Linked DNA regions of Oryctolagus cuniculus. The protein of the gene in region 6 interacts with the protein of the main gene of each other region in a pairwise test. Links are inferred from orthologs where the notes say so. Each region holds a gene or a part of one and is shown on either strand. Other genes may lie near its edges.

Evidence for each region.
Region 1: the proteins of EFHC2 (region 6) and CCDC120 interact in binary tests that used the Homo sapiens proteins (3 or more experiments, as listed by UniProt). The link is inferred for Oryctolagus cuniculus from reciprocal best matches to the Homo sapiens genes EFHC2 and CCDC120.
Region 2: the proteins of EFHC2 (region 6) and CACNB4 interact in binary tests that used the Homo sapiens proteins (3 or more experiments, as listed by UniProt). The two-hybrid records come from large-scale screens. The link is inferred for Oryctolagus cuniculus from reciprocal best matches to the Homo sapiens genes EFHC2 and CACNB4.
Region 3: the proteins of EFHC2 (region 6) and PLOD3 interact in binary tests that used the Homo sapiens proteins (3 or more experiments, as listed by UniProt). The link is inferred for Oryctolagus cuniculus from reciprocal best matches to the Homo sapiens genes EFHC2 and PLOD3.
Region 4: the proteins of EFHC2 (region 6) and TSSK3 interact in binary tests that used the Homo sapiens proteins (3 or more experiments, as listed by UniProt). The two-hybrid records come from large-scale screens. The link is inferred for Oryctolagus cuniculus from reciprocal best matches to the Homo sapiens genes EFHC2 and TSSK3.
Region 5: the proteins of EFHC2 (region 6) and LONRF1 interact in binary tests that used the Homo sapiens proteins (3 or more experiments, as listed by UniProt). The two-hybrid records come from large-scale screens. The link is inferred for Oryctolagus cuniculus from reciprocal best matches to the Homo sapiens genes EFHC2 and LONRF1.
Region 7: the proteins of EFHC2 (region 6) and COPE interact in binary tests that used the Homo sapiens proteins (3 or more experiments, as listed by UniProt). The two-hybrid records come from large-scale screens. The link is inferred for Oryctolagus cuniculus from reciprocal best matches to the Homo sapiens genes EFHC2 and COPE.

What each region holds. Positions count from the first base shown.
Region 1 is NC_091453.1:34,200,843-34,204,841, reverse strand, and holds the start of CCDC120 (coiled-coil domain-containing protein 120), read right to left. Parts: upstream 2,801-3,999; 5' UTR 2,430-2,800; intron 1-2,429. UniProt on the Homo sapiens protein: Centriolar protein required for centriole subdistal appendage assembly and microtubule anchoring in interphase cells. Together with CCDC68, cooperate with subdistal appendage components ODF2, NIN and CEP170 for hierarchical subdistal appendage assembly.
Region 2 is NC_091434.1:90,039,418-90,042,917, reverse strand, and holds part of CACNB4 (voltage-dependent L-type calcium channel subunit beta-4), read right to left. Parts: intron 2,811-3,500; coding exon 2,734-2,810; intron 1,298-2,733; coding exon 1,278-1,297; intron 1,064-1,277; coding exon 983-1,063; intron 1-982. UniProt on the Homo sapiens protein: The beta subunit of voltage-dependent calcium channels contributes to the function of the calcium channel by increasing peak calcium current, shifting the voltage dependencies of activation and inactivation, modulating G protein inhibition and controlling the alpha-1 subunit membrane targeting.
Region 3 is NC_091450.1:43,400,223-43,403,380, forward strand, and holds the end of PLOD3 (multifunctional procollagen lysine hydroxylase and glycosyltransferase LH3), read right to left. Parts: intron 3,157-3,158; coding exon 3,015-3,156; intron 2,923-3,014; coding exon 2,809-2,922; intron 2,711-2,808; coding exon 2,642-2,710; intron 2,386-2,641; coding exon 2,281-2,385; intron 1,880-2,280; coding exon 1,733-1,879; intron 1,422-1,732; coding exon 1,296-1,421; intron 948-1,295; coding exon 792-947; 3' UTR 501-791; downstream 1-500. UniProt on the Homo sapiens protein: Multifunctional enzyme that catalyzes a series of essential post-translational modifications on Lys residues in procollagen. Plays a redundant role in catalyzing the formation of hydroxylysine residues in -Xaa-Lys-Gly- sequences in collagens.
Region 4 is NC_091438.1:140,117,617-140,120,939, forward strand, and holds TSSK3 (testis-specific serine/threonine-protein kinase 3), read right to left. Parts: upstream 1,918-3,323; 5' UTR 1,834-1,917; coding exon 1,608-1,833; intron 1,217-1,607; coding exon 555-1,216; 3' UTR 501-554; downstream 1-500. Other genes in the region: protein FAM229A, read left to right, coding at 2,640-2,776, 2,857-3,003, 3,162-3,264. UniProt on the Homo sapiens protein: Serine/threonine protein kinase required for spermatid development and male fertility.
Region 5 is NC_091433.1:77,989,200-77,993,441, reverse strand, and holds the start of LONRF1 (LON peptidase N-terminal domain and RING finger protein 1), read right to left. Parts: upstream 2,801-4,242; 5' UTR 2,694-2,800; coding exon 1,961-2,693; intron 1-1,960.
Region 6 is NC_091453.1:30,116,092-30,119,591, reverse strand, and holds part of EFHC2 (EF-hand domain-containing family member C2), read left to right. Parts: intron 1-249; coding exon 250-381; intron 382-1,091; coding exon 1,092-1,230; intron 1,231-3,500. UniProt on the Homo sapiens protein: Microtubule inner protein (MIP) part of the dynein-decorated doublet microtubules (DMTs) in cilia axoneme, which is required for motile cilia beating.
Region 7 is NC_091447.1:65,883,247-65,887,255, forward strand, and holds the start of COPE (coatomer subunit epsilon), read right to left. Parts: upstream 2,801-4,009; 5' UTR 2,754-2,800; coding exon 2,628-2,753; intron 1,740-2,627; coding exon 1,677-1,739; intron 376-1,676; coding exon 275-375; intron 1-274. Other genes in the region: probable ATP-dependent RNA helicase DDX49, read left to right, coding at 3,060-3,174, 3,784-3,907. UniProt on the Homo sapiens protein: The coatomer is a cytosolic protein complex that binds to dilysine motifs and reversibly associates with Golgi non-clathrin-coated vesicles, which further mediate biosynthetic protein transport from the ER, via the Golgi up to the trans Golgi network.

The DNA.
Region 1 (3,999 bases), about 4.1 Mb from region 6:
CTCACTACTCTTCTATGAAAAATGTAAGCTTGAGGCCAGTGATGTGGTGCAGCAGGTTAAGCCTCCACCTACAGCACCAGCACCCCATTTGGGTGCTGGTTCGAGTCCCAGCTGCTCCCTCCTGATATGCCTGGGAAAGCAGTGGAGGATGGCCCGAGTCCTTGGGCCCCTGCACCCACATGAGAGACCTGAAAGAAGTTCCTGGCTCCTGGCTTCAGCCTGGCTCAGCCCTGGCCATTGCGGCCATTTAGGAAGTAAACTAGCAGATATAAGATATCTCTCTCACTCTTTCTCTCTCTCTTTCTGCCTTTCAAATCTTTATTAAGATTTATCTATTTATTTGAAAGGCAGAGCTATAGAGAGGCAGAGGTAGAGAGGTCTTCCATCCGCTGGTTCACTCCCCAAATGGCTGCAATGTCCGGAGCTGCGCTGATACAAATCCAGGAGCCAGGAGCTTCTTCCAGGTCTCCCATGTGGGTGCAGGGGCCCAAGGACTCGGGCCATCTTCTACTGCTTTCCCAGGCCATAGCAGAGAGCCGGATCGGAAGAGGAGCAGCCGGGGCTGGAACCAGCACCCACATGGGATGCCAGCACTGCAGACAGCAGCTTTACCTGCTACGCCACACTGTTGGCCTCATAAGTAAATAAATCTTAAAAAAAAATGTAAGCTCAAGACATAATTGAGTAACATATTATGCTCTAACTTCTCCTCATCCATCCTCAGAATCAAGGAGACTGAAGAGAGAAGGCGAAGGAAGCTCATGGTATTGTTGTCATTGCTACTGCTGGATAGACCTCACTCTCTCAATCCAATGCTTGCCTGTCTCCCACCTCCCCAGACCAGCCTCCCAGAGATGAGGTGAACTTAGCACCAAGATGTTTATTGCTCACTTCCAAGAAAAGGGGAATAAACCCCTACCAAGTCCTGAAGCCTCTGGCCTAGAATAGATTTTTTTTTTTAGGGGAGGAAAGTAAGGGATCCCACACCCAGGATCAAGGTCAGGGATGGAGGTAACATGATCTAGAAGATTCAGACAAACCCCTAGGGCCCTCAGTCCTGCATATTTTGTAAACCCTTCCTCCCAACGTGAGGCAGCCCCCCAACAAAACACAGCTGGAAACATGACGCAGACCTCTCAGACTCTCCAACTTCTAGAGAATCAATGAATAATTGAAGGTGTTCTTTCACACCCGGGGAGGGCAGGGGGCTGATGAACAGTTCCAGGCCCTCCTAGGGCAGGGCGAGAAATGCAAGGTCTATGTGAGATCACTGGGGTGCAGGTGTGGGAAATCCCATACAAAAATCCTATCAGCTACACAAGACTCACAAGGCTGCTTCTTCACGCTAAGGAAAGCACTTGTGATGTACTTCAGAGGTCTTAAGACCCGTAGAACCTTCAAGTTTATGGGCAGGGAATAATGGGACCCCTGCCCTGAACTCAGAGGGGATGGGAAGTAGGTATTAGGAAAGGGAGAGGGAGATCTGACAGAGTGTGGAAGAGGGGTCTAGGGTTGGGATGGGATAAAGCGACAGGAAGGGAAGGAGTACAGAGGACAAGACAGAAACATCTTGGGATGGAGGTCAAGAGGCAGGACAGGAAGTGAGCCAGAACACTGCTCAGGGGATGGGATGGCTAAGATTCAAGACAGGGTTAGAGGCAAAGTACAACAAAACAGCAGGGCGGGGGACAGCATCCCTACAGAACAGAAGCCAGTTGTCAAGGGAGGGAACAGGAAAAAGGGCAGGTTAGGGATAGAGGTCAGGAACAGGAAAAGACCAGGAGAGAGTGAGGACTGGAATGAGAATGGTGATGGGACAAGAAAAGGGGGAAAAATAGGACAGGATTGGGGCCAGAGCAGGAGACAGAGAGGGACATATACAGGTGGTAAGCTGGGATGGAGACTGGAGTAAGGAGAGGGACCAGGGGCACAGTACAGGGCAGGGTGAAAGTACCTACGTCAGGTTAGGAATCAGGACAAAACTGGATCAGATTGGGGTTAAGGAAACAAGAGGGGCGGAGGTTCAGAGACTGGGTAAGAGTTAAGGTCAAGCACCAGGACATAACAAGATGAGCCTCAAAGCTGAGACGGGCTCAATCAAGAATCAGAGATCAAGTCAAGGATGCTAAGGACAGAACTGGATGGGGTTTGGGGTCCTGACTGGATTTAGGGGGACAAAACAGAGGATGAAGATCCCACCACCCCAGAATGTGGTTAGGTTAGGGGTTGGACCACAGGTCCTGAGGCCAAAGCTGGCTGGGGTTCGAGATCTCAATAACATGTAGTCAGGTCAGAGGGGGTCAGGGGTGAGGCCACGGGGTCAGAGGTCGTGAATGCCAGCGCAGGTATATCCTCACCAGCGTTTCCGGGCCCTCAGCCCACCCAGTCCCCTCCCTTGCTCCCCAAGTGTGTGCGGGGGTCTTACTCACCGAAGGTCCTCACCCAGAGGCGTAGGCGGGGTCGGTGCAGGCCGGCAGGGGTAGTGGGCGCGCCCGTCCCTCGCTGCGCCCTGCTCGTCCCCGGGCGCGCGCCTTCTCCTGTTCCGCGCCCTGCCCGTGGGCCGCGTTCAGCCGCGCGACCGTTACCGTGGGGCCAGACGGGGGGCACCCGGGGGGTGGGAGAGGAGCGCCGGCCAAGCCGCCGGCGCTGGGCCCCCGCCCCCCACCCTGCACTCGGGTCCGCCCGCTCCCGGCGGCACGACCACCGCCGCCGCTGAACGCGAGCTTCGGGGTGGGGGGTGCGGGGGGCGGGGCGCGAGACCACAGCAGCGGCGAGGACGAAGTGCGCAGGCGCCAGGTCGGCTCTTCGATTTTCCTGCCCTGGGAGCGCCAGGAGTGAACAGGCTGGGAGCGCGTGCGCACAGACTTTCTTTAGGGCGGCGGAGTCCTCCCCCAGCCCTGCCATGGCCACGCCCCCTCGGCGAGCAGATAGGCACCCCCCCATAAGTCACTCTGCACGGACCCCTAGGCGGTACAAGCTGTACCCCATGCTGCTCTCTATAAGCCATCACCACACCTCTAAACTCTCCCAGCTTTCCTTGTCGCCATCCCCAAATGCACCCCAAACCACTCTCCATCACCCTCAAAGTACTGTCCACTGATCCGAAGCAGGACCTCTGATTTATCTTCCATGGACATCCAAGCTGCACCAATAAACCACCTCCCATTGACCTTCAAGCTGTGCCTAAATCACACTGTATTGACGCCAAGCCTTTATCCCTTAAATGACCCTCCATGACTATCAAAATTACACCCAGATCACCTATAGAATCTCCTGGTGCACCCCCAACTGTGTTCCCACAATCTCCAAATCACTCTCCATTTATCTCTGAATTTCAATCTTCAAACTATCTTTCGTTCATTCTTTCTTTTTTCTTTAAATGTATTCCCCAATTCAATGTAGGCTGTCACAAAGAGAAAGTGCAGGGATTTTTCTTTCACATCCTGGTGCAAACCAAAAGAACAACAGCAAATTGTTCAAGGTCTATCAGTGGACGCAGTAAGCTATCTTTCATTATCCCCCAAATTATGTCTTCAAATTACTGCCCATTGATCCTAAGTAGTACCTCCAATCCATCCTCCATGGACTTCCAAACCGCACCAAAACACTACCTTCCATTACTCCCAAATTGTTCCTCAAACCGTCTGCAGTTAGCCCTGAAGCCATTAGCCTTCAAACAGCACTTCCAAATCATCCTCCAAATGCCTCCAATGTGCACCCAAAACACTGTCCATTGATCCCAAACCACTCTCCATGTACCCTCCAACCATACACTATGAATCCCCTACTGGCTCTGCAAGAGTCCATAACACCACTCCAAATATTACCAGCTACCCTCAATGTGGGCGTCACTCGCACCTCAAATCAATTCCAACTGTCACTTGCTCTGTCTCCAAACCATGCTCTATGGATTCCACCACCATCAAATGACCTTCCATTGACCTCCCCTCCTGTCCTCACAAAATTGCCTTGCAGAACCCCCGATCTCTGTCCTGCATG
Region 2 (3,500 bases), on a different chromosome or scaffold from region 6:
CCACATTAGGGGAGGGGACTGCCACCAGGAGACTGCAGGCTGGCTTTGTGCACAGGTGCTGGCCATCCTTGGTGCACCTGAGTTGTGTTGGCCTCCAGTGAGGAACACCTAGAAACCCCACAGCCAGTGCTGAGATCATCTGACCTTTTCCTGAGTCCTCTATGCCCAGGGCTGGACTTTTGTACACTACTCTTCTGCTCTTCTCTCTGATATTTCCAACTCAGAGAAAGAGAGAGAGAGCGAGAGAGAGAGAAAGACAGGGGGGAGGGAGAGAATATACTTAGATCTGCCCCCAAGGAGATTTGTTAATTCATTCAACAAAGTGTACTGAGTGCTTATTAGCTCAGTGGGAACTGTGTCCTGGAGGCTGCCCACTTCGGATTTAGTGTCCACCTGTTTTAATCACACTAGCGCAAGGTCAAAATGGCAACATCTGAAACATCATACATCTAAGTCTTTACTCTTTTCCTTGCTACATGATATTATTTAATTCTCCAAAATTCACCAACGTTTTTGGTGGTTTTGTATCTAAATGCCCTGTAAAATAAATAAGCAGACACATTTGCCATTGTTTTGGGCACCCATTAGGATGAGATCTGTTGGTGCTGTGAGGGTCTAGGTTTGCAAGAAGATTGCTTCTATGTTCCCTTGTGCTGTTCATATTCTATTATTTCTAATAATAACAGGAATGGTTGAGAAAAGTCCTCTTCTTTGAATTTAATGGTGAGCAAATATTTGATCAGAATTTTCCAGTATCGATGATTTGGGGGAGATATTTCTAAACAGTGTAATGCATAAAAGATGAGAAGGAAAGAAAGGGCACAGGGTCACATAACTCCACATTGTCCCACCCACCTTCCCATACTGAGAGCTGGCTTCCACCAGTACCTAAATGTGACCAGACCCTGGAACAGCAAGCACCCCCGTGCCTGTCTCCAAGATTCTCAACCAAGAACTGACGGGAAACAGATGATATTTGTACCTCATAACCTTTCAGTGACGGCCCCACTAACACCACAGGACGCATCGACGGCACAACATCATAAGGAGGAATGTGCTCCGTCTGAAAAAGAGGATTCAACACATGGACAAGCTGAGGCTGAGCATCCCTCCTCCACAGCCACAACACTCCCAACGCCCTGTGAATGACAGTGATGACCATGGGTTCCCCAAGCAGGCGCATCCCTTATGTCATAGCCACTGGGGTCACTGAAATGGAGCACCGCAGGCACGTATATATAAAACCTTAACAGATTTAAAAAGGAAACACAACTTACCACTTTTTGCTTCTGTTTTGCTAAAAGACAACAATGAGAGCCATATCAAAATATGTCATCTCTGAAAGTGACAGTACATGACCTTAAAAGATGGATGCAGGCATGTATTTGTCCCTGTAATTATCTTGCTGACTTCCCCATCACCCACTCTGCAGACACTGTCTCTATTATTTCATTCTGGATGTGCTGATTTTGAAGCACACATGAACATACGTCCCGATTTCACATGGGGAGGGGGTGATGGAAAGTAGTTCACAATGACATTGGAGGTTCTGGGCCAGCCGTTAACCATGGGCTTCTTTCCATGCAGAACATAGCACCCAGTGTGGCTGGGAACAAGTTGAACAGATAAAAATTGATAAAAAGCAGCATAGTAACAAGTGGGCTAAAATGACTATTTTGGGGTGTGTAACTTTGGTGACCCTATGATAAATAGGCATTCTTTTTTTGTTGCTTTTGCCCATTTTCTAGGAAATGGACACATGTTTTCTTACTATGTTGCTTTTATATTTCAAATAAATTTATAATCAGTTACTTCTGTTCTTTCCAGTTTATAGTAATAATAAGCTGCAATGTCCTACAATGGGAGTAAAGCAAAATATACTCAGTGTCTGATGAAAGTGCTTTTGTGGCTATCTGAGCACGCTCAGTTTATTGGGGGTTGGAGGAAGCAACCCAGGGAGCTAGATTGGCTCAGAGTGTTAGAGTTCAGGAGAAATTCATATGAATAAGGATCCAGATCCTCACAACTGTTCTAAAACCAATTTCAATACACAGAGACCTTTGGACTTGCTATTCTGAATTGCTAATATGAGGGCTACCCTAATGCAGCATCAACTATGAGCAAGAATGAAATTAGCCTACAGAGAGGTCAGGGAAGGTGGAGGAAGAAAATCCCTGCATGAATATGTCCATATTTTCTGAAGATACTACCATCTCCTCATTACTGTTAATTCCAGGGCAGGGATGTCTGCTGTCAAAATAGAAATCACCTCACTTGAGCCCCACCTCATTCCCAGCCTCAACCCACCAAGTCTCCATCACCCACATTGTACTAACACTTTCAAAGTTTCACATGGAGACTGAAATAGAGCATTTTCTTGAGTCTACAATGTTTTTCCCCTTTCTTAGTGGCCCTCATCATCTCAAAATCTGCTGGGTTCTTGGGTAGAAGAACGAACTTGTCACAGACTAATTCATACAATGGATAGTTATGGCCTCTGGGGAGCAGATAAGATTTTTCAAAATTATAAAGATCTGAATTTCTAGTGCTATTATTCACCTTTAAATCAAACCAAATTACCACAAGAAGGAAATGAGCAATGAAATTTGAAATAAAGGAACCTTTGTAAAGGAAGCCTTTAACTCATTTCCAAATTAGCAAAAATGCTTGCATGCATACTCAAATATTAAGGAAGGAATGTATCCTATTGAAAGGAATGTAACAGACCCTCACCGGTCGATGTGGGAGTTGCTCGAAATGTCCCTGATACCATTTCTCCCAGACTTGAAGAAGAATTTCCACTTGATTTCCTAGGATACAGAAAACGAACGTAAGATTCGCTCTGTGCAAACATTTCTGGAGAGTACAACGCTTTCATTGGCATTCAGCCCACTAAATAATTCAAAACACACTAAATTCTGCTATAGAGAACTTCAAGAATCTGTCCAAATGTTTCTATTTCTCAGAGAAAGTGGGTAACTTTTGAGAACCCAGACAGACTTTGCAAAAGTATTTCTACCAGTGATTTAATATAGAAACCAGGCAAAAGAATTACTGATAGGAATGTTCTGAACTGCTTGCTAACCTAACACCAGTCGCTAGCACACAAGTCAGATGTCAGCCACAGCTCAAAACAATCAGCAAGGGGTGAACATTATGGCACAATGAGGGTAAGCCTCCATTTGAGGTGCCCGCATCCTATACTGGAGTGCCAGTTTGTGTGCCAGCTCCTCTGCCTCTGGCTTAGCTTCCTGCTAATGCACTTGAGACAGCAGCCAAAAAAGAGGACAGCCCAAGTGCTTGGGCCCCTGCCACTCACATGAGAGTCCTAGATAAAGTTCCTGTTTCCAGGCTTTGGCCTAGCCCAGCCCTGGCTGTTGCAGTCATTTGGGAAGTGACCGCCAAGTAGATGGTGGTCACTCTTTCTGTCACTCTGCCTTTCAAGCAGATTAAATTTTTTTTTTTTAAAAAAGCAATAATACTGGAGGAATCATTTCTTA
Region 3 (3,158 bases), on a different chromosome or scaffold from region 6:
CACCGCCCTCCTGCCAGGGGGCTCCAGCTGGGGAGGGGGAAGGGTCCGGAACCAACAAAACGCCCTGGGCCAGGTGGCGTCAAGGCCTCTAGCAGGGAACAGAGAGGAGATCCAGGGGCAGCCCCCAGGGAGCCGCAAGGGCTTGGGGGTCTCCCAGAGGCTGGAAGGAGCCCTGCTCTCAGGTCTCTCCTCCTCTCACAGCCCCCTCTGCCAGGAAGCTCTCCAATGATGACCCTGCAGGGAATCCCGTTCCCTGGTCATGCCCAGGTTCAAGTTTAGGTCCAGAGCACGTGCGTGTCCAGGGGGCAGCTCCTGTGCCAGTGCCGTCCTTGGCTCCTGCACCCATCCTTGGGGAGGTCAGGGGCCTGCGTGGGGCTGGGGCCTCCACCTGAACCGGCAGGTACAGCCTTTCCCGCGCTCTGCCCGCAGTGCTGGGCAGGGGACAGGGTGGCGGGCAGGAACAGGACCAGACAAGGGGGGATGACAGACAACCCACGGACTCAGAGTTACAAATCCTCCTTTAGTGGGAGGGAACAGTCTCAATAATTTATCACCCAGGGCACCCCCAGGAGACCCTTTCCCCAGGAGCCCTTGCGGGCTCTAGGGAGGGGGCTGTGTCTGGGCAGGGTGGGGGCGGGGGAGGTGCACGACACGATCAGTCCCAGGCACGCTCAGCACACATTCAGGACGCGGGGAGACCGGCGGCCGCCCCTTTCCGGCGGCTGGGGCTGCGGCTGGGGCTCCCCTGAGAAGGCACCATGGCAGTGAAGGTTTGGCACAGTGGTTGCGTGTCAGGGGTCGACAAAGGACACCATGATATAGCGGGTGCCCCGAGTGGTGGGCAGCCCCTCGTGGTAGTGGGTGAGGCGGCCGGGGTGCAGGAGCCCCCAGCCCTTCCGCGGGGCCGAGATCACGCAGTCGTAGCGCAGGAAGCGGCAGCCGCCACCCTGGTGGGGGGAGTGAGAAAGGAGCAGGCGAGGGGGCTGAGCACACACCTGAGCTGTGGGGGTGGTGCCACACGGGGGGGGGGGGGCATCTGCGGGAAGGGGGCAGGAAGGCACGGGGTGGGGGTGGCAGGAGCTCCAGGTAAGGGTCCCCCCCACCAGGGCATAGGGCATGCACATGGGGAGGAAGGCACGGGGTGGGGGTGGCAGGAGCCCTGGGTAAGGGTCCCCCTGTCCCGGGCGTGCACGTGGGAGGAAGGCACGGGGTGGGGAGGTGGCAGGAGCCCTGGGTAAGGGTCCCCCCGCCCCAGGGCATGCACGTGGGTGTGTGCTGACGGGGGAGGGGCTCACCTCATAGTCCAGGCCCTTGTGGTTAAGGGCCACGTTGAGGGTGAAGGTGGAGGAGTCGTGATGTGGCCGCAGAGAGGGCTGCTCGTCCGGCCGATAGCGAACCACGAAGTTCATCACCGCCCGGGCCTGCAGGTGCAGAGAGCAGAGGATGGGGGGAGGGGCTGCTGGGGAGAGCACAGCACCCCCCCACACACACACACACCTCGAGACCCCCAAGGTCTCACTGCTAACTGGCGCCGCGGCTAAGCCACGATGCACCCCGGGTCTCGGCCTGCCTACTTCTGGCCCGGTCCCTGTCCCCGCTCCCCGTCTCATTCCTGGGACCTGGATTCCACAGAACCTTAGACACGGGAGCTGATGGGGCTCTGGGTGGCCACTGGCAGGCTGGGGCAGAGGTGGCGGTGGCAGGGGCGGTGAGGGCAGCCGCAGCGGCCTACCTTGGTGTGGTAGCCCGGAAACAGGCTCTCGGTCATGGGGCCCACGTAGGTCCTCAGCAGCTGCAGCCACTGGTCCTCGTAGCCCACCTGCTTCATGTGGATGTCCACGGTGGGCACATTCTCGTAGCCTCCGGCCAGCCTTGAATCCTGGGGGCAGTGGACGCTGAGCCGGGGCCCCTCCGCGCCCCGCCCGGGCCAGGCCCCCTCCCCCATGCTCCCAAGTCTTCACACGCTTGCTCTCCGTGCCTGGAGCACTCCTTCCCTACTTCCTGATTTCACAGCTCCCATGAAGCCCTCCTGTCCCCCCAGGCAGGGACAAGGGCTGCCCGTCCCAGCCTCTGGAAGCTGGGCAGCTGCTGCTCGGGACAGGAGGGCAGAGCCTGCCCTGCCTGGCGCCTCGCTGCACCTGCACGTCCTGGCCAACGGCCCAGTGACGTTTCCTCGATGCAGGCGTACTGCCTGGGGCTCACTTCCCCGTGTGTCCCCCCCATCCATTCCATCGCCCCCGGTCTCAGCGTCCCCTCCTCCCGGGAGGCCTGGACCCTCACCTCATGCCGGCCTCCTGACCACTGGCCGTAGTGCTCCATCTCTTCCACCAGCTCGTCACACATCTGCTCTGACAGCAGCGGGAACCAGTAGACATCCGGGCACGGCTGGGGTGGGGCGGGGAAAGGAGGAGCAGCGCTGGGGTGGGTGCTCACAGAGCAAAGGCAGAGGGGGAGAGGGAGGAGAGGCTGGGGCAGAGCAGGGCGGCCTGCGGGTCCGGGAGCCCCAGGTTCCCACCCCTCCACAACAGGCACCTCTTTTTGACATCCTAGTTTCACCCATAAACCGATCGCTACGCCCCGGACACAGAGGAGGTCGCGCGGGCTGGAGCCCCGTCGGCTCGACTGCTGCCACAGGACTCACCTGCTCCACCATCCCGTCCCCTTCCAGGGCCCTGCTATAGTTCTCGTGGATGTACTGCTCCTTCCAGTCCTGGGGGGGCAGGATGGGGTGACACAGAGGATGGGGGGGACCCTGAGATGCGGCCCAGGCAGCCCCCGCCGCCTCCTCGGCTGCCGGCCCCCACTCACCACAGGGTTGTCGAAGATCTGCCACAGGTCGGGGTGCAGGTGGTCCGTGTCGTAGCGGGACGTGGCCAGGAGGCGGCCAAACTCATGCCGGTTGCTGAGGTGCAGGAAGATGCCCTGGGTGGGGGCGGGGCGGCGAGCACGCGTGAGAAGGGCGCTGGCCACGGCAGCGGGCGGCCGGCCCCCGGCACCCGCCCGCCAGCCCTCACCTGGTCACGCAGGCTCTTACAGAAGGCCATGTCCGGGTCGGTGTCGCTGCTCGAGAACACCTCTCTCTGGGGCAGCTCGGTCCGCAGGGTCTCCCCGCGGATCACGTAGGCCTGGGCTATGTAGGGCACATTCCACACGCCCCT
Region 4 (3,323 bases), on a different chromosome or scaffold from region 6:
TCACCAGCTGTCTGGGCACCTGGTTTGTCCCCCATGGCAGCTCTCAGGAGCCAGGGCAGGACGCACGCTGTGGAGGTGACTTCCCGTTTGGATCAGGGGGAGGGGAGCCATGGGAGAATTGCCTGGGTCCTGAGGAAGTCCCTTGCCCTCATCCCAGGCTCTGCTTGGCCTTTGGAATGAGGAAGGGAAGGGAGAGGGCCCCCAGCAGGCCTCTTATGTGGAAAGGAAGTTGCAACAATAGTTCCAGTTGCATTGGGTCATTTTTCTCCTGCCCTCCGTGTGTGCGTGCGGGTGTGTGTGTGTGTGTGTGTGTGTGTGTGAGAGAGAGTCTGGGGTCAACTAATCAGTTCGGACACCTGTGTGAAAACCACTTGTAAGCGGTAATAAAAGGGAAGTCTGAGTGAAGCCCTTTGGTTCCATGAGGATCTTTAAAGGTCGCAGGTACGCTGGGGCAGGAGTGACCTTAACACGGGAAGTCAGATGACCACTCTGCAAGCAGGTTTTGAGTTTGCTTTCTCCCCTGATTTATTGGGGAGGACTTGCTATTGCTTTTATCAAGTGCTTGCTAGCCACGGATGCCAACTAACTTCCTCGATTGAAGGCCGGAGGATCATGTCTGGTTCCAGGAGCCGCTTGAGCAGGTCCTGGCATTCGGCCGAGATGCCCAGGTGGGTGGGGAAGGACACCCCCTTCTGCTGCTGCCACAGCATCTTGGGGATGTCTGTGTCATCAAAAGGTAGGCTGGCGCAGAGCATGACGTACAGGACCACGCCCATGCTCCACACATCGCCCTTCTTGCTGTCGTGGGGAACGCCCTGCAGTACCTCGGGGGCGGCGTAGGCGGTGCTACCGCAGAAGGTCTGGCTCAGCTCCCGGCGGGACTTGGGCAACACTTTGGCAAAGCCAAAGTCTGTGAGCTTCAGGTTGAAGCCCTGCAGCAAGGCGTTCTCGCACTTGAGGTCCCGGTGGGCCACGCCACATCCATGGCAGTAGCGGATGGCCTCGACCATCTGACGGAAGAGGGCCTTGGCCCGGCTCTCAGGCAGCGGCCCCCCATTCAGCACACAGTCAAAGACATCCCCTCCCTCAGCCAGTTCCATCACCAGGTAGATTTTCCCGTCCGCAGACTCCAGCATCTCGTACACCCGGATGATGTTCTTGTGGTCCAGGGTGCGGACGATCTGGAGCTCCCGCGGCAGGAATCTCTGGATAAACTCTGAAACGAGAGGACAAGAGGTGATGAGCTATCAAGTCAAAGGGCCCAGCGCCTCACTCCTGGACTTCGGGCTGCCCTTCTTAAATGTGGTTCTCGCCCTTGGATGTTGCGAGAACCGAACCGTCACTCCTGTTGCTTTTGTAGCTAACACGTTATGCAGTGGAACTGCCCCCTGCCAGCTTCGGCACTATTGTGAGCAGTCTGGGAGACTGCAGGTAGCAAGATGAGGTGCTTTGGGGACTTTCAGACAAAGTTACTGAATCTGTTACAAGGCCATACTTGCCCAGGGCATGGTGAGCCAGCTCCTCCCGTCCCTGGTCCCTGCCTCCTGCCTCCTGACCCACGGTTCTTTCCCATGAACCCTGCCTGCCTTTTTCCCACCTCCACCTACCTTGGCACCAGCTCCTGCCTTCCGCTAGCCCTGGCTGTGGCCTCTCTGCAAGTCTCTGTTCGTTCCCGGAATAGGAAGAGCCTGGCAAGCTCAGATCTTGCCTCTGAGGACTCCTCTCCTGGTGCCGCTTTATCTTGGACTGTGCAATGCTCTTGGACTCCCAGCTTCCCTCTGTTCCCGCACTGACCCCCCCCCGGGGGGGGGCGGGGGTCCCTAGGGCTTGCATTCCTTGGTTCCAGACTAAAGGCCAGGAGGAAATGACTGCTCTGACTGGGGAAAGTGCCCTCCCACCTCAGCCAGCCCTCCCTTCCTCCAGAGGGCCCCCGGCTCACCTTCTGGCCCTCCCATCTTGTCTATAATTTTAATTGCCACTTTTCTTTGGTGTTTTTTGGAAAATGCTTCTCTGACTTTTGAGTAGGTCCCTTCCCCAATGGTCTTGCCCAGCTGGTACCCATTGGAGAGCAGAAAGTCCTCCATGCTGTCTAGCGCCTCCTTCCTATCACCCACTCAGCGCATGCTGCCTCCGCGAGGCAGCTCTACTGCACCATCGCCCTCGGCCCGCTCCTCTTCCCCCCAAGGACTTCATCCACAGCCGCCCCAGCGCTAGAGCATTCTCCGTCTGCACGCAGCCGCGGGTGGGGGGCAGGAGAGGGTCAGACATTTTAAAACTCCGGCCCAATTGTGATGTAAATATTGTGTGACCCTTGGCCAAAATGGGCAATGGCCCTACCTGCTCGCACCCTCTCTGCCAAACCCAGCGCGGGCTAAGTCCCCGCCGCCGCGGGGCCGGGCCGGGCCGCGAGTCACTGCGTAGCCGCGGAGGGCGCTCCAGGGTGTCGGCGTGGAGCGGGCGTGCCCGGCTCCTCGGCCTCCATCTGGCGGCCAGGGCGTCTGCGCGGCCAGGTCTCCAGGCGCCATGGCGAGAGCCTTCCGACGCCCGGCTCGGGCCCCCGCGAAGTGCTGGGGCGGCAGGGGGTTCCCCGGCGTGGGGAACGGGCTCTGTGAGGTCAGCGCGCCGCGGCCCGGGTCACAATGCCGTTCTCCCCCTCGACACCCGAGCCCGGGCGCGCCGCAGACACCTGCCCGGCTCCGCCTGGACCGGAGCGTCCTCCCGCGGCCAGGGCTCGGGCAGCTGCCTCCAGCCTGGGAGCGGCCTCGGCCTCCGGCAGGTGAGAACGACCCAGGGGCGAGCGCGGGGAGGGGGTCGCCTGGCGGCCCGGGAGCGGCCTGACAGCCACTCCCCGCGCAGAGCGCCCCGGGGCCTGGACATGAGTGCCCAGGAGCCCCCGCAGGGTCGGAGATTCCCCATTGAGGCCGGAGACTCCCCTGGCCTTGCCGCCGTCCCAGAGTCCCAGGACAGCCCGGAGCCAGTAGCTACGGAGCACAACCCGGTCAGGTGAGGCCGGCGCCCCGTCCCGCGGCCCCACCTGTGGCCCACTGCGCGCCCCCAGGCCTCCCCACATCCAGGCCAGAGCCCCAGTGGACCTCCAGGGCACTCCCTGGGTGCACCCCAAGATAGGCCAAGCCCCCGGCTCAGCGGCCCGTTTTCCCCAGGCCGCTTCGACGCTGCCCGGGCTGCCACTGTCTGACGCTGCTGCACGTGCCCATCGACGTCTACCTGGCCATGGGCGGGAGCCCCCGGGCCCGCGCCACCTGAGTGCGCCTGCGCACGGCAGCTCCCCGGGAGCCGGGCGGGGACGAGGCCCTCCGCGGGCC
Region 5 (4,242 bases), on a different chromosome or scaffold from region 6:
AAAAATATTAGTCACAGAACATGAAGCTAGACTTAAATCTGTAATGTGTTCACTATTCTTCCAAGGAATAGGACCTCAAAGCTTATAAAGAACCTAATTTAAAAGAATGTCATATCACCATGTCAGGCGTAGATACTGAATAGTGCTGTTGGTGAGTTTTATCCTCTATTTTATACTAGTGATAGAAAACCCTCCTGGGAAATGTGCATGAGCACTTGAGTGGATGACCTATAAAGACCAGATGAACACAAGGCCCACTTTAGAAAGGGACACACAGCTGCCTCTCCAAGCAGCCAGCTGTGTGACTGGGGCAAGTCACTGCACTGCTCCAGCCCTTGCTTTCTCACATGGTCTGTGATAGGTGTTCTATCCAGCCAATTCTGGCTTATTTGCCCACAAGAGGCAGTCAGGTGTATCAGAATTTAATACCCAATTATTTTCCTTTTGTTCTGAGACTATTACCATATTTTACAACTGCCTCCTCCACAGACACACTAAAAGGCCTCAAAAACATGGCAAGTTTGTGCTGTGAACTCTGAAGGTTCTAAATAACTCAAGACACTGTCACTGGTTCAATATGACTAAGCACCCACAGGAGGGTATTTTCAGTTCCACAGTGTCTAAACTTACCTAACACCCAAAGTCAGTTTAATATTTCATGTCTATTTCCTTGGGGATTATTTCCCCCAAGCATTATTTCCTGCCAACACAGCGACATGAAAATCTTGCAATCCACTTCATACAAGTGTCGCCCACAGTGCCACTGATGGTCGTCTGGGGCCTGCATTCTTGGCGGTGGCAGGTCAGCCGCACAGTGCCCACAGTGCCGGGACCAGCATCACGCCTACAAGAGGTGGGGACCAAAAATGTCCCTAGACACTGCCAGATATGTTGCCCTGGATAATGTCCTTGGGGAGGGGGTAGTGAAACCCCCCCCCTAGTAAAAGAACTGATCCAAGAACTTCATTTTTTCTAACGGAAGTTTTACAGGCGCGTCTGGCACAATGTAAAACCGCCTTGGGAAAAGTGCTAACTGAAGTTGGGAAGCCGAGGGTGCGTCCTGGAGACAAAGGAAGAGACAAAAGCCCTACACGGCCTTTCCCCCTGGGCTCGATCTTAAGTGGAAAGGCGAACGGAAGCGAGGCGGTAACTCTGGGTTAGAGACTACCTCTGCATCCCTGCCCTGGGCTGGGCGTATTCCGGAGTCAGCACAATGAAACCGGCGTGACCTGAGAAGAGCAGGTGGACGCCTCAAGATGCACCCACTCCGCGGGCACTTCCAGGTAGGAGCTGACCACCGCGGCCGGAGGGGCCTCGCGGCACTGGGTGCGGGCGCCGAGCTCCCGCCACGCCCACCGGACGTCACCCGTTACACAACGCCCCTCCACCCCAGCTTATGCAATTCTGCCCTCCCGCGGCTTCCAATTGCCCCGGTGACTTTTGCGGGTCGGGAAGGTAGACCTAGCCCGCCCAACCTCGGCTGGGGATCCCCGCCCCGCCGCGATGTCGTCTCCCACCCCCGGGGTGGCCCGGCCCTGCCGGGCCCGAGCCGCCAATTCCCGGAAAGAGCGCGGCAGGAAGCGGGCGGCCGCTCGGGCTCCCCCAGCTCCCACCCATCCCGCGCCAGGGCGGCCTCCGGCCCGGGGGCCCGCAGCTCCGCGCCGCACGCGCGCGCGCCCGAGCGCCAGGCCGCGGCCGAGGGAACCCCGCGCCCGCGCGCCCCTCCCCGCGCCGCGTCACAGTGGGCTCCCAGGGCGATCCCCATTGTGACCGAAGCACCCCGGGCGCCGCCCCCTCCCACACCCTCGAGCACCCCGAGATCCCGCACGCCGAGTGCCCAGCGGCCCCCGGGGAAGCAGGGCGAGCCTGCCCCAGGGCGCAGACCCGCTCTGGGTACCCGGCCCGCCCGGGAAAGGAGGGTGGGGTCGGTCGGGCCCGCGCCGCATCCCCGCGCCGTCACCTGCTCGCAGCGCCTCGCAGGCGGCGGCCAGGGCCTCCCGGTAGCGCCCCTGAAGCAGCAGCTCCCCGAGCCGGCCGGCCGCCCGGGCTCGCTCGCGCTGACCCGGGAACCACTTCTCGGCCAGGTGGTTGAGGACGACGCTGGTTCTGAAGTCCGAGGCCGCGATGGCGGCGGCCAGAGGCGGCGGCCGCGGGCCGGTCCCCTCAGCACCCGCGGCACTGGCGACGGCGGCGGGCGGCAGCCGGTCCCGGCAGAGGCGGCAGCGGACGCGGAGCTCTCTCCGCAGGCAGCGGCGGCAGTAGCTATGGCCACAGGGCACCGTCACCGGCTCGCTGAGGAAGCCGCGGCAGCCCAGGCAGCTGAGCAGCCCGCCCGCACCCGCGCCGGCAGCCGGGGCCGCGCTCCAGCCCAGCCCGTGGCGGAGCCGGTAGTTGAACACCAGGCAGTCCACCAGGGTGCCGAGGCACTCGGGCCTGACCGGGGCCCCCCGGCGCAGCGCCGCCGCGTACGCCTCCAGCGCTCCCTTCAGGTGGCCGCCAAGCGCCAGCAGCTCGCCGCGGCGGAGCAGCAGCTCCCAGCGCTCCGACTCCGCGGCCGCGCGCTCCAGCTGGTCGCCGCCGCCGCCGCCGCCGCCGCCGCCGCCCACTTCCCAAAACCGGCCTCGGCTCCGGGGCCTGAGGGCCGTCTCCCGACTCCCTCCCGGAGAGCCCCTCGCCACGGCCGGAGAAGACATGGCCCGCGGACGGCTGCTCCGCCGCCGCCGCCGCCGCCGCCGCCGCCCGCCGCCACGGTCCCAGAGCCTACGGGGCGCGCGGCTCCGCACGCGGCCCGCGAGCAGGGGGGCGTGGCGCGCGGACACGGCGGGGCGGCGCGCGCCCGGGAAGCCCCGGGGGCGGGGCCTGCGTGGGGCGGGGCCTCTGCCGAGGGGCGGGCCCAGGTCCGGGTCCAGCGCTCGGGACTCCCCCGCACCACCCGCGGCCGCGTTCCCGAGGAGTCGCCGGCCCGGCCCCGCCTAGCCCCGCCCCTTCCGAGCCCCCTGCGGGTGGGGGACGCAGGTCAGATGATCCCGCAGCGGGGATCTAATTGGTTTCTCGGGAGAGCAGGGCCTGGCGTGTTACTAAACAAAGCCCGAAGGATCCTTTATCACCCACCCGGGGCTGGCCTCCCCGCCGACGACCCCGCCTGCAGCGGCCCCCTCCCTCGCCTCTGCTCGGTGGGCGCTGCTGTGCTGAGTGGACCCCCTCCTCGCGGGACGGAGGCCCACGCCGCCCGCGCTCCCCCGACGCACTGCCCCATCGGGCTGGGGACCTGCGCCCTCGCCCTGCGCGGAGTCCGGGTCGTCAGGTGCAGGGTGGCGTCTTAGGTGTATGCCTCAGGTTACAGAGGTGGCGGGCCCGCGACAAGTGCCGTCTGACGACTTCGTGACTCGACTACCGTCGGTCTACATTAGACACAAACGCAAAAGTCCGCAGCTCCCTCCAGTTTTTTCTGGTGCCAAGTGGCCGCGGCCTTTCCAGTTCAAAACTCATTTCCTAGCTCGCGGGTTCTTGGGGTGCCGGCTGTATCCCCCTTCCAGCTGGGGGAAGTCTGTATTCCCCAAGGAAAGATGCCTTGCCCACGGCAGGTACTCTCTCCCTACATCCCGAGTTGGGTCTGCAGCTTTACAGACAGAACAAAAAGAAATGATCCCACTTGTAGGTAATGGGTTATACTTCCTGGAAGTTGACAGCAGCGAGTGTAAAACTCTCAATTGAAAATATTTATAGTTTTGAATATAGGGTTCTGGGTTGTTAATGTTGGAAGAGACTTAAAACTTTTTAGTTACTTTGCAGACGGTTGGAAAAGAAAAGTTTACTTGTCCGAATTCACACAAGTAATGAAGAGAGAGGATTTAACTGCTATGTTATGGTATTGATAATAGTTATAGATTCATTCCCCAAAAGGGAATGAACAAAAAGCTGACCGAGAAAATACTGAGACACACAAGGTGCAGAGACACACAAGGTCACTTTTCATTTACATTGCGCCTACAGCAAGTTGTAGTGGGATCCAAGCCCCGTGGCCTAATTGTTCGGTGTGTATTCACAGGCATGAACTTAAATCCAATCCTAATCCCCCTGAATTGCGACCTCTCAGCCAGCAGAACGATGACTTGAGTCACATGCCCACAGACCAGCTTGAAGCTACAAATCCCAAAGACTGAGTATCCCTATGCACGTGCCCTTTGACTTACGGGATGCATTCTTGTCCGTAACAGCAGCTTGCCAAACGTGCAGTGGTAA
Region 6 (3,500 bases):
CCTGTAGTATGGGAGGGGTTGGGGAGGTGGGGAAGATGGGGAAGATGGGGCCTCATTAAGGACTTGAAGGATGCTTGGAGTGTAGGCCAGCCCACGAGGGTTGTGATGCTGTGGGAAGAGGACTGTGTGTCTTCCCCTGGATGGGAGAGAAGAACCACACATTGCATGTCTCCTGCATGTGCCCCTGGATGGTATCAGCTTTGTATTTCGAGGCTGTGGCCCATACTTTGTTTCGATTTTGTCTTCCAGTATGGCCCACCTGGAGTCTATCAACCAGGCCAGATCACAGATCGAACAGTTCTCAACGTGTATGATAGATTGTCAGAGATAGGTAGCGTGTTGGACAACCGAGGTGCTAGCTACATGTTGGATAAGTACCAGGTGAGGAACCTTATGTTTGATTAGTGTTTCCCATGGGACTTCCCTGGACCCTGAACCATGGGGGCAAGTTACATATTCTTCCCTTGTGATATTGTAAATGAAATGAATGGCTGTACCAATAGATGCATTGCGGCCGGCGCCGCGTCTCACTAGGCTAATCCTCCACCTTGCGGCGCCGGCACACCAGGTTCTAGTCCTGGGCGGGGCACCAGATTCTGTCCCGGTTGCCCCTCTTCCAGGCCAGCTCTCTGCTGTGGCCAGGGAGTGCAGTGGAGGATGGCCCAAGTGCTTGGGCCCTGCACCCCATGGGAGACCAGGATAAGTACCTGGCTCCTGCCATCGGATCAGCGCGGTGCGCCAACCGCAGTGGCCATTGGAGGGTGAACCAACAGCAAAGGAAGACCTTTCTCTCTGTCTCTCTCTCTCACTGTCCACTCTGCCTGTCCAAAAAAAAAAAAAAAAAAAAAAAAAAAGATGCATTGCACTGCCATTTATCAACAATAGCCAGGCTTTAGTTTATATGTAAATATGTGCATTGTGTTGGTTTTTGCAGGCACTGTGGTGCTAAAATAATGCTTTAAAATATTAATATTCACTCGATTTCAAAAATTTAGTTATAAATGACATCATTGAATTTTTACGAAGTTTTCTTTGTATATAGTTCTTTGGAGATCCATGGTGCCAATGCTGTATTCCTTTGTTTTTATTAGATGGGAAAATCAGACCAAGAGTTTTACAAAGATTCTGACCTGTCTGTAGGAGCTTCCATCAATGTGTGGGGAAGGAAAGTGCTGCTTTGTGACTGTGATGAATTTACGAAGCTTTATTATAAAACTAAATATGGAATTGGTAAGTGATGCGTATGGCTGTTGGAAAACACTTTAAAATCCACAATTTTTGTTCCCTAGTTAAGATTTTACTTTTGATTTTCAGTTTCCAAGCTGATGATAGTTACCGTTTATTGTATATTTGCTATCTTCCAGGCATTTGTTGTCTTATATATTCCTAACAACAAGCCTTTATAGGTAGGCTCATTATACCCATTTTAGGGCTCATTTGTCCAATCATATGGTGAGCAAAGGATAAGTTAAGATTTGAATTTGTGTGCTTTGACGCCAGGGACTTCTGTTTTCCCTTTGTGCCCACTGCCTCGCTATGATAGATGCATTGGTTAAACAATTGAAATGGAAATCCAAATGCTCTGCTCTTTGCTTAATTCTTGCTTACCATGATGAACATACTTACTCATTTTCTCTAGGAAATTATTTTGTACCAGTTTGCTCTACTTTTCCTGGTGAGGTTCAGCCAGGTTTCCAGCTTCTCATTTCTTAGGTGTTAGTTCCATTCTAATCAGGTTACTTAAGGTCAGCATAAAAACCAGCTGTTTATTAAGCACTTAATATAATAAATAGGTCACTGTAAGTAGATTTAGGAGATAATGTTGCATGAGAGGTTTCTAGGCTGGAAGGTGAGCTGAGACCTGCTGTACTATTATGTAGGAGTCTTAGAAGTGGGATTGACGCTGTGGCATAGTGGGTAAAGCCACAGCCTACAGCACCTGCGTGCTGTATAAGCACCAGTTCCATTCCTGCCGCTCCACTTCCATTCCAGCTCCTTGCTGATGCACCTGAGAAAGCATCATAAGATGGCCTCTGGACCCACATGGCAGACCCAGAAGAAGCTCCTGGCTTTGGCCTGGCCCAGCCAGGTCGTTGTGGCCATTGGGGAAGTGATTCTTCCCCTATACTTTATTTTTAAAAAAGATTTATTTATTTATTTGAAAGACAGAGTTACAGAAAGAGAGGAGATGTAGAAAGATCTTCTACCCACTGGTCCACTTCCCAAATGACCGCAACAGCCAGAGCTGGGCCAATCCAAAGCCAGGAGCTAGGAGCTTTTTCCAGGTTTTCCATGTGGGTACAGAGACCCAAGGACATGGACCATCTTCAGCTGCTTTTCCAGGCACATTAGCAGGGAGCTGGATTGGAAGTGGAGCAGCTGCAACTCGAACCCAGTGTCGCAGGCAGCAGTTTTACCCACTACACCTCAGTGCCAGCCTCTTCCACTATACTTTAAATCATCTTTATATTACTTATAGTACCTAATATAATTTGAATGATATAGAAATAGTTATTATACTGTATTGTTTAAAGAATAATTACAAGAAAAAAAATGTCTGTACGTGTTTAGTACAGAGACAACCATCATAGGCCTCTTTTTTGTTGAAATATTTTCATTCATGGATGTGGATCCCATGTATGCAGGGGGACAGTTGTTCTTCTCTGGGAACCTTAGAATATTCAGAACACATTTCCTGGAGGGGTGAGATGGAAGCTAGAAAATGCCTTCGTGAAAGACGAAGTGCTGTGTCTGTAGAATGAAAGGAAGCCTACCTCATATATCTTGGTGTCACCATTGTGTAGCCTTCCTGGCCTTCTGGGAATCCGGATTGTGAGAGAAGGCATACAAAAGAATTGGAATGAAAAAGACTTTGATTTTCACTCTTAGATTCATTAGGGAAATTTGTTCCCCTCGATTTGCATGCCAGATTAGTCACAATGTGTGGGTCCTACAGGGGCCAACTTGGTCCCCTATAGTGGACAGTTGGGTATATTTGCTTTGGAGACTGTGGACTAGAGAAGCCAGGAATGTGCAGGTGGCAGCTGCTGTAAAGAAGCTGCTAGTGGCCCTTAGATCGTTGGGCAGAAGAATTTGCCTTTAATAAATGCAGATGCCTATTTAGAATCAGTAAGGCTTCAGTGTAGATTGAAAACCACATCTTGGATCTGAAGATTACCTTAATAATAAAGGATGTGGTGAAAGATTGACAGATTACCTTAATATGAAGAATATGGTTGAGGTTCCAAAACATATAAGTTCAACATTTGGTTGATCTTTCTCAACTTGATTTTGAGAATCTAAAGTTAGCATTTGAGAAAACGACTGTCATTGTTAGTGTCTTAGGGCTTCTGTAGGGAATTTTCTGAGGCAGTGGAATAATTCCCTTAGCTCACTCCAAATCTAGCTGTCCTGGGTAAATGTGTCCACTTCAAATGCCCTGTGGTTCATTTCTACTTAGTTCTAGTGCTGTTTTTTCTATTTTCTTCTTTTATTCATGC
Region 7 (4,009 bases), on a different chromosome or scaffold from region 6:
GAGTGGGCACTGGCCAGCAGGGGCTGCCCGAGGCCTGGGCCTGGCCCCAGGAGGCTCTCTGAGCATTGAACACAACCCATGTGCTCGGAAGTAGGGTCGGGGCGCCTCGCGGCCGAGACACCCGCACCAACCTCGTCGCCTCTGACCCTCCCCACAGGGCCACTGCTGCCCCGGGCAGCTGAGGGAAACCGAGGCACAGGGAGGTGAGCGGCAGGGCCCCGCCGCGTGCCCAGTTGCAGAGCAGCAGGCCCACCCCCCACCGCCCCAGCCTCACCGCCGGCTCTCACTGGCCAGGTACTCGGCGAACATGCGCACGGCTTGGAGCTCGGGGGCCGATGAGGGCTTGATCTCATCCAGGACCACGCCGAACTTCCGCTGCGGGCGGGACAGACACGGGTCAGCGGCCCCCGGACAGGGCGGCCCTGCACCCCCACCCCGGGGCCACATGTCCCGGGGTCGTAGCCATGTGCGCCCTCCCCTGCTGCCCACACCGTGCACTGCTAGCTGGAGGCCCTGGGGGTCACTATCCCTGCCCAGCCGTCCACCCCCGGTGGGGAGGCGACAGGTGGAGGTGGGCGTGTCCCCGGGGGAGGCAGGGAGGGGCCGGGTCTTGTACAAGGCGCACCCCACCCAGCCCCAGGCCGGCGGTCCCTTCTGAGGGGCCGTCCGTCTCTGACCTCCCTTCCTTCCTTCCTTCCTAGACGGCTTCTTTTTTAAGCATAATTTTAAAATATTTTTAGGAGCTGGAACAGTGGCATAGCTGGCTAAGCCTCTGCCTGCAGTACCAGCAAACCATATGGGCGCCGGTTCGAGACCCAGCTGCTCCACTTCCCATCCAGCTCTCTGCTGTGGCCTGGGAAAGCAGTGGAGGATGGCCCAAGTGCTTGTGCCCCTGCACCTGCGTGGGAGACCCGGATGGAGCTCCTGGCTCCTGGCTTTGGATCGGCACAGCTCCGGCCATTGCGGCCATCTGGGGAGTGACCCAGCAGACGGAAGACCTCCCTCTCTCTCTCTCTCTCTCTCTCCCTGCCCCCCCGTAACTGTGTCTCTCAAATAAAAATCTTTTTAAAAAGTTTTTGAACATGATTCTAAAAAGTCTTACACATTCTTTTGAGACACAGAGAACAAGGAAGGCCCCGTCCACTGGTTCGTCCCCCCCCCCCCCCCCGTGCCGGCCACGGTCCCCAGCCGGGAGCCGGGAGCCCCACCCGGGTCTCCCACGCGGTGGCGGCAGCAGGGACCCCATCACTCAGCCGTCAGCGCTGCCCCCGGAGTCGGGAGCAGGGCTGCGACACCTGGGGCCGGGACATGGACACAGGCGCGCTCACGCGGGCCCAGGACACACTCGTGTACGTGCGTGAACACGCTGCGCCCCTCCTGCGGGCGGTCCAGGCGTCCCCCGCCGCGGACGCGAACCCTGCGGGACCCGGGTGCCCAGGCCCCGGAAGGCGGAGCCGGGGAGCCACTCGGGCCGGATGCTGGGCGGGTCCCGGCGCCGGGGCGGCAGCAGGCGGGTGCAGGGGCGGGCGGCAGCAGGCGCGTGCACGGGCCACGTGCCCCACCTGCTGCGTTTCCCCGCGGCAGCCGTGACCGCTCCGGCCTGACCCCGGGCCCCGGGCCGGCACTGTTTCTCGCTCTCCTATGCCCAGCTGGCCTTCGTCCTGGGCCACACTCACCTGGGCCAGGTACGCTCGGTACAGGAAGACGTCTCTCTCCACGTCTCGCTCTGGGCTGGACAGCTGTGGGGACGAGGGCGGGTCAGCACGCACAGCCACACCACAGCCCCCGGCCCCCCAGGAGGGTCAGGGCTGAGCCCGGCCCTGGCTCCAGCTCCCGGAGGCCCCAGAGAGCCTCTGCGGGGGTGAGGGGTGTGGAAGGGGCCAGACCTGGGGTGACCCCAATGCCCGCTCGGCGATGGCACACACGGGGGGCTTCAGGGGCCTGGCGCTGTGGCTGAGCCGCCCCTGGTGACTGTGACGCCCGTGCCCCGCGCTGGGTACAGCCCCGGCTGCGCGGACTCCGAGCCAGCTCCCTGGGAAGGCAGTGGACGATGGCCCAAGCCCCTGGGCCCCTGCCGCCCACGTGGGAGACCCCGATGGAGCTTCCGGCTCCTGGCTGTGGCCTGGCCATCGCGGCCATCTGGGGAGTGAAAAAGCCGACAGCTCTCTCTTTCTCGCTCGCTTCCAAGTGGATGGAGACCAATAAACGGGGCCCGAGCACAAGTCCCAGGCCACAGCAGGGAGCCGGATCGGACCCGCGCTCCCGTGGGATGTCCCGCGGCGCCTCAACTCCACGCCCAAAACGTAAAATCATCGAAAAAAAAAATTAGAAGAAAGCAGACCCTGGAAGCAACAGCCCCTCTCGGCCCCCGGCGCCCTGCTGGGTGCACCTGCCGCGCCGGGCTGCCTCCTGACCGGTGCCCGCCTGTCCGGCTCGCCCGGCCCTCCAGGCGCGCCGCGAGCGCCCCCCAGCGTGAGCGGGCGACACCACAGCTGTCACGGCTCTGACTGCGGGCCCGCGCGCTCGGACGACGCGCGTGGACACAGGACGTCGAGGAGGCGAGGAGAAAACGCAAAGTTCCGAGGGCAAAGAGGGCGCAGCCCGCGGCCGGCCCCGCGCCCCCGCACCTTCACCCGCTGCGCCTCGTTGATGCACTGCTGGTAGCTGCCGATGTAGAAGGCGTTCTTCACGTCGAACAGCTCGTCCACCTCCCCGGAGCCGCCGGGGGACGGGCCGGGAGCCGGGGGCGCCATGTCGCGGTCCTCTCACCCGCTCTTCTTCCGGGAAGACACGTCGGCCGGAAGTAGGGCCCGCTGCGGAGCACGCTGGGAAATGTAGTTTCCACGTCCCGAGCCAATGGGAGAGCCCTATGGAGAACGCACTCCTGCGTCTCGCAGAGCATTTCGGGAGTTGTAGTTTGACTCTTTTTCCGTGAGCAAACGGGATCCGGGGACGTGGAGGAGGTTGTGTTCGAGGCTGGGAACCGAAGGGCGCTTCGCGACGTCATCGGAGCGCGCCGGAAGCGCGACTTACCTCGGCCCCCGTGGCCGCCTGCGAGGATGGCTGGCTTTTCGGAGCTCGGGCTGTCATCGTGGCTCGTGGAACAGTGTCGGCAGCTGGGTTTGAAGCAGCCCACGCCCGTGCAGCTCGGCTGCATCCCCGCCATCCTGGAGGGTGAGTGCGGCTTCCCCCGGAGGCGGCCCCAGATGCGCCTCGCTGCCTCTGCGCAGCCAGGCAGGTGCCAGGGGGCTGGGGGCCAGCCTTGGTCGGTACTGGCGAGCCCGGGTCGGTGCCGGCACCTAGGCCGCACGCATGACTGACTCGCTTTGGAATCGGAGCGCGGGGCGGGCGCGATCGATGGCGTGGGCCCGGCAGCACTGGCATTGTCGCCTTCGACAGAGGGGCACTGAGGCTGTCCGAATCCCGGGGCCACCTCGGGCTGCGCCCCCGCGAGCGCGCCTCTGACCCGGCCCAGCTGTGCCGTTCCGCAGGGGCGCGCAGGTTGAGGGAGTGGCTACATCGGGTATCCAGGGGCTGGAATTGGGGCAGGTCGGGGTGGGGGAAGATTCTGGATTCCCGAAGCTCAGCCCAGGTGCCAGTCCAAGCCGCTGCTTCCCGGAAAACTGCCCTTCTGTTGAACGGGTCCGAGCATCCCCTGCCTTCTAGGTTTGTCGGTTCCCCGCCGCGGGAATGGAAAAGGCAGGGGAGGGGCCGCCCGGTCCTCTTAGCTGTGGGCGGCGCCCCACCCTCCCACCGCCCTGACGCCGCCTCGCCCTCTCCCAGGTCGGGACTGCTTGGGCTGCGCCAAGACGGGCAGCGGCAAGACGGCGGCCTTTGTCCTGCCCGTGTTGCAAAAGTTGTCCGAGGACCCCTATGGCATCTTCTGCCTGGTCCTGACGCCCACCAGGTGAGCCTGCCCCCGGGACGTCCACCCAGCTCTCCCGTGTGGGTGCAGGGGCCCAAGCACCCCGGGCCCACCTCCCGCTGCTTTGCCGGACTGGAAGTGGGG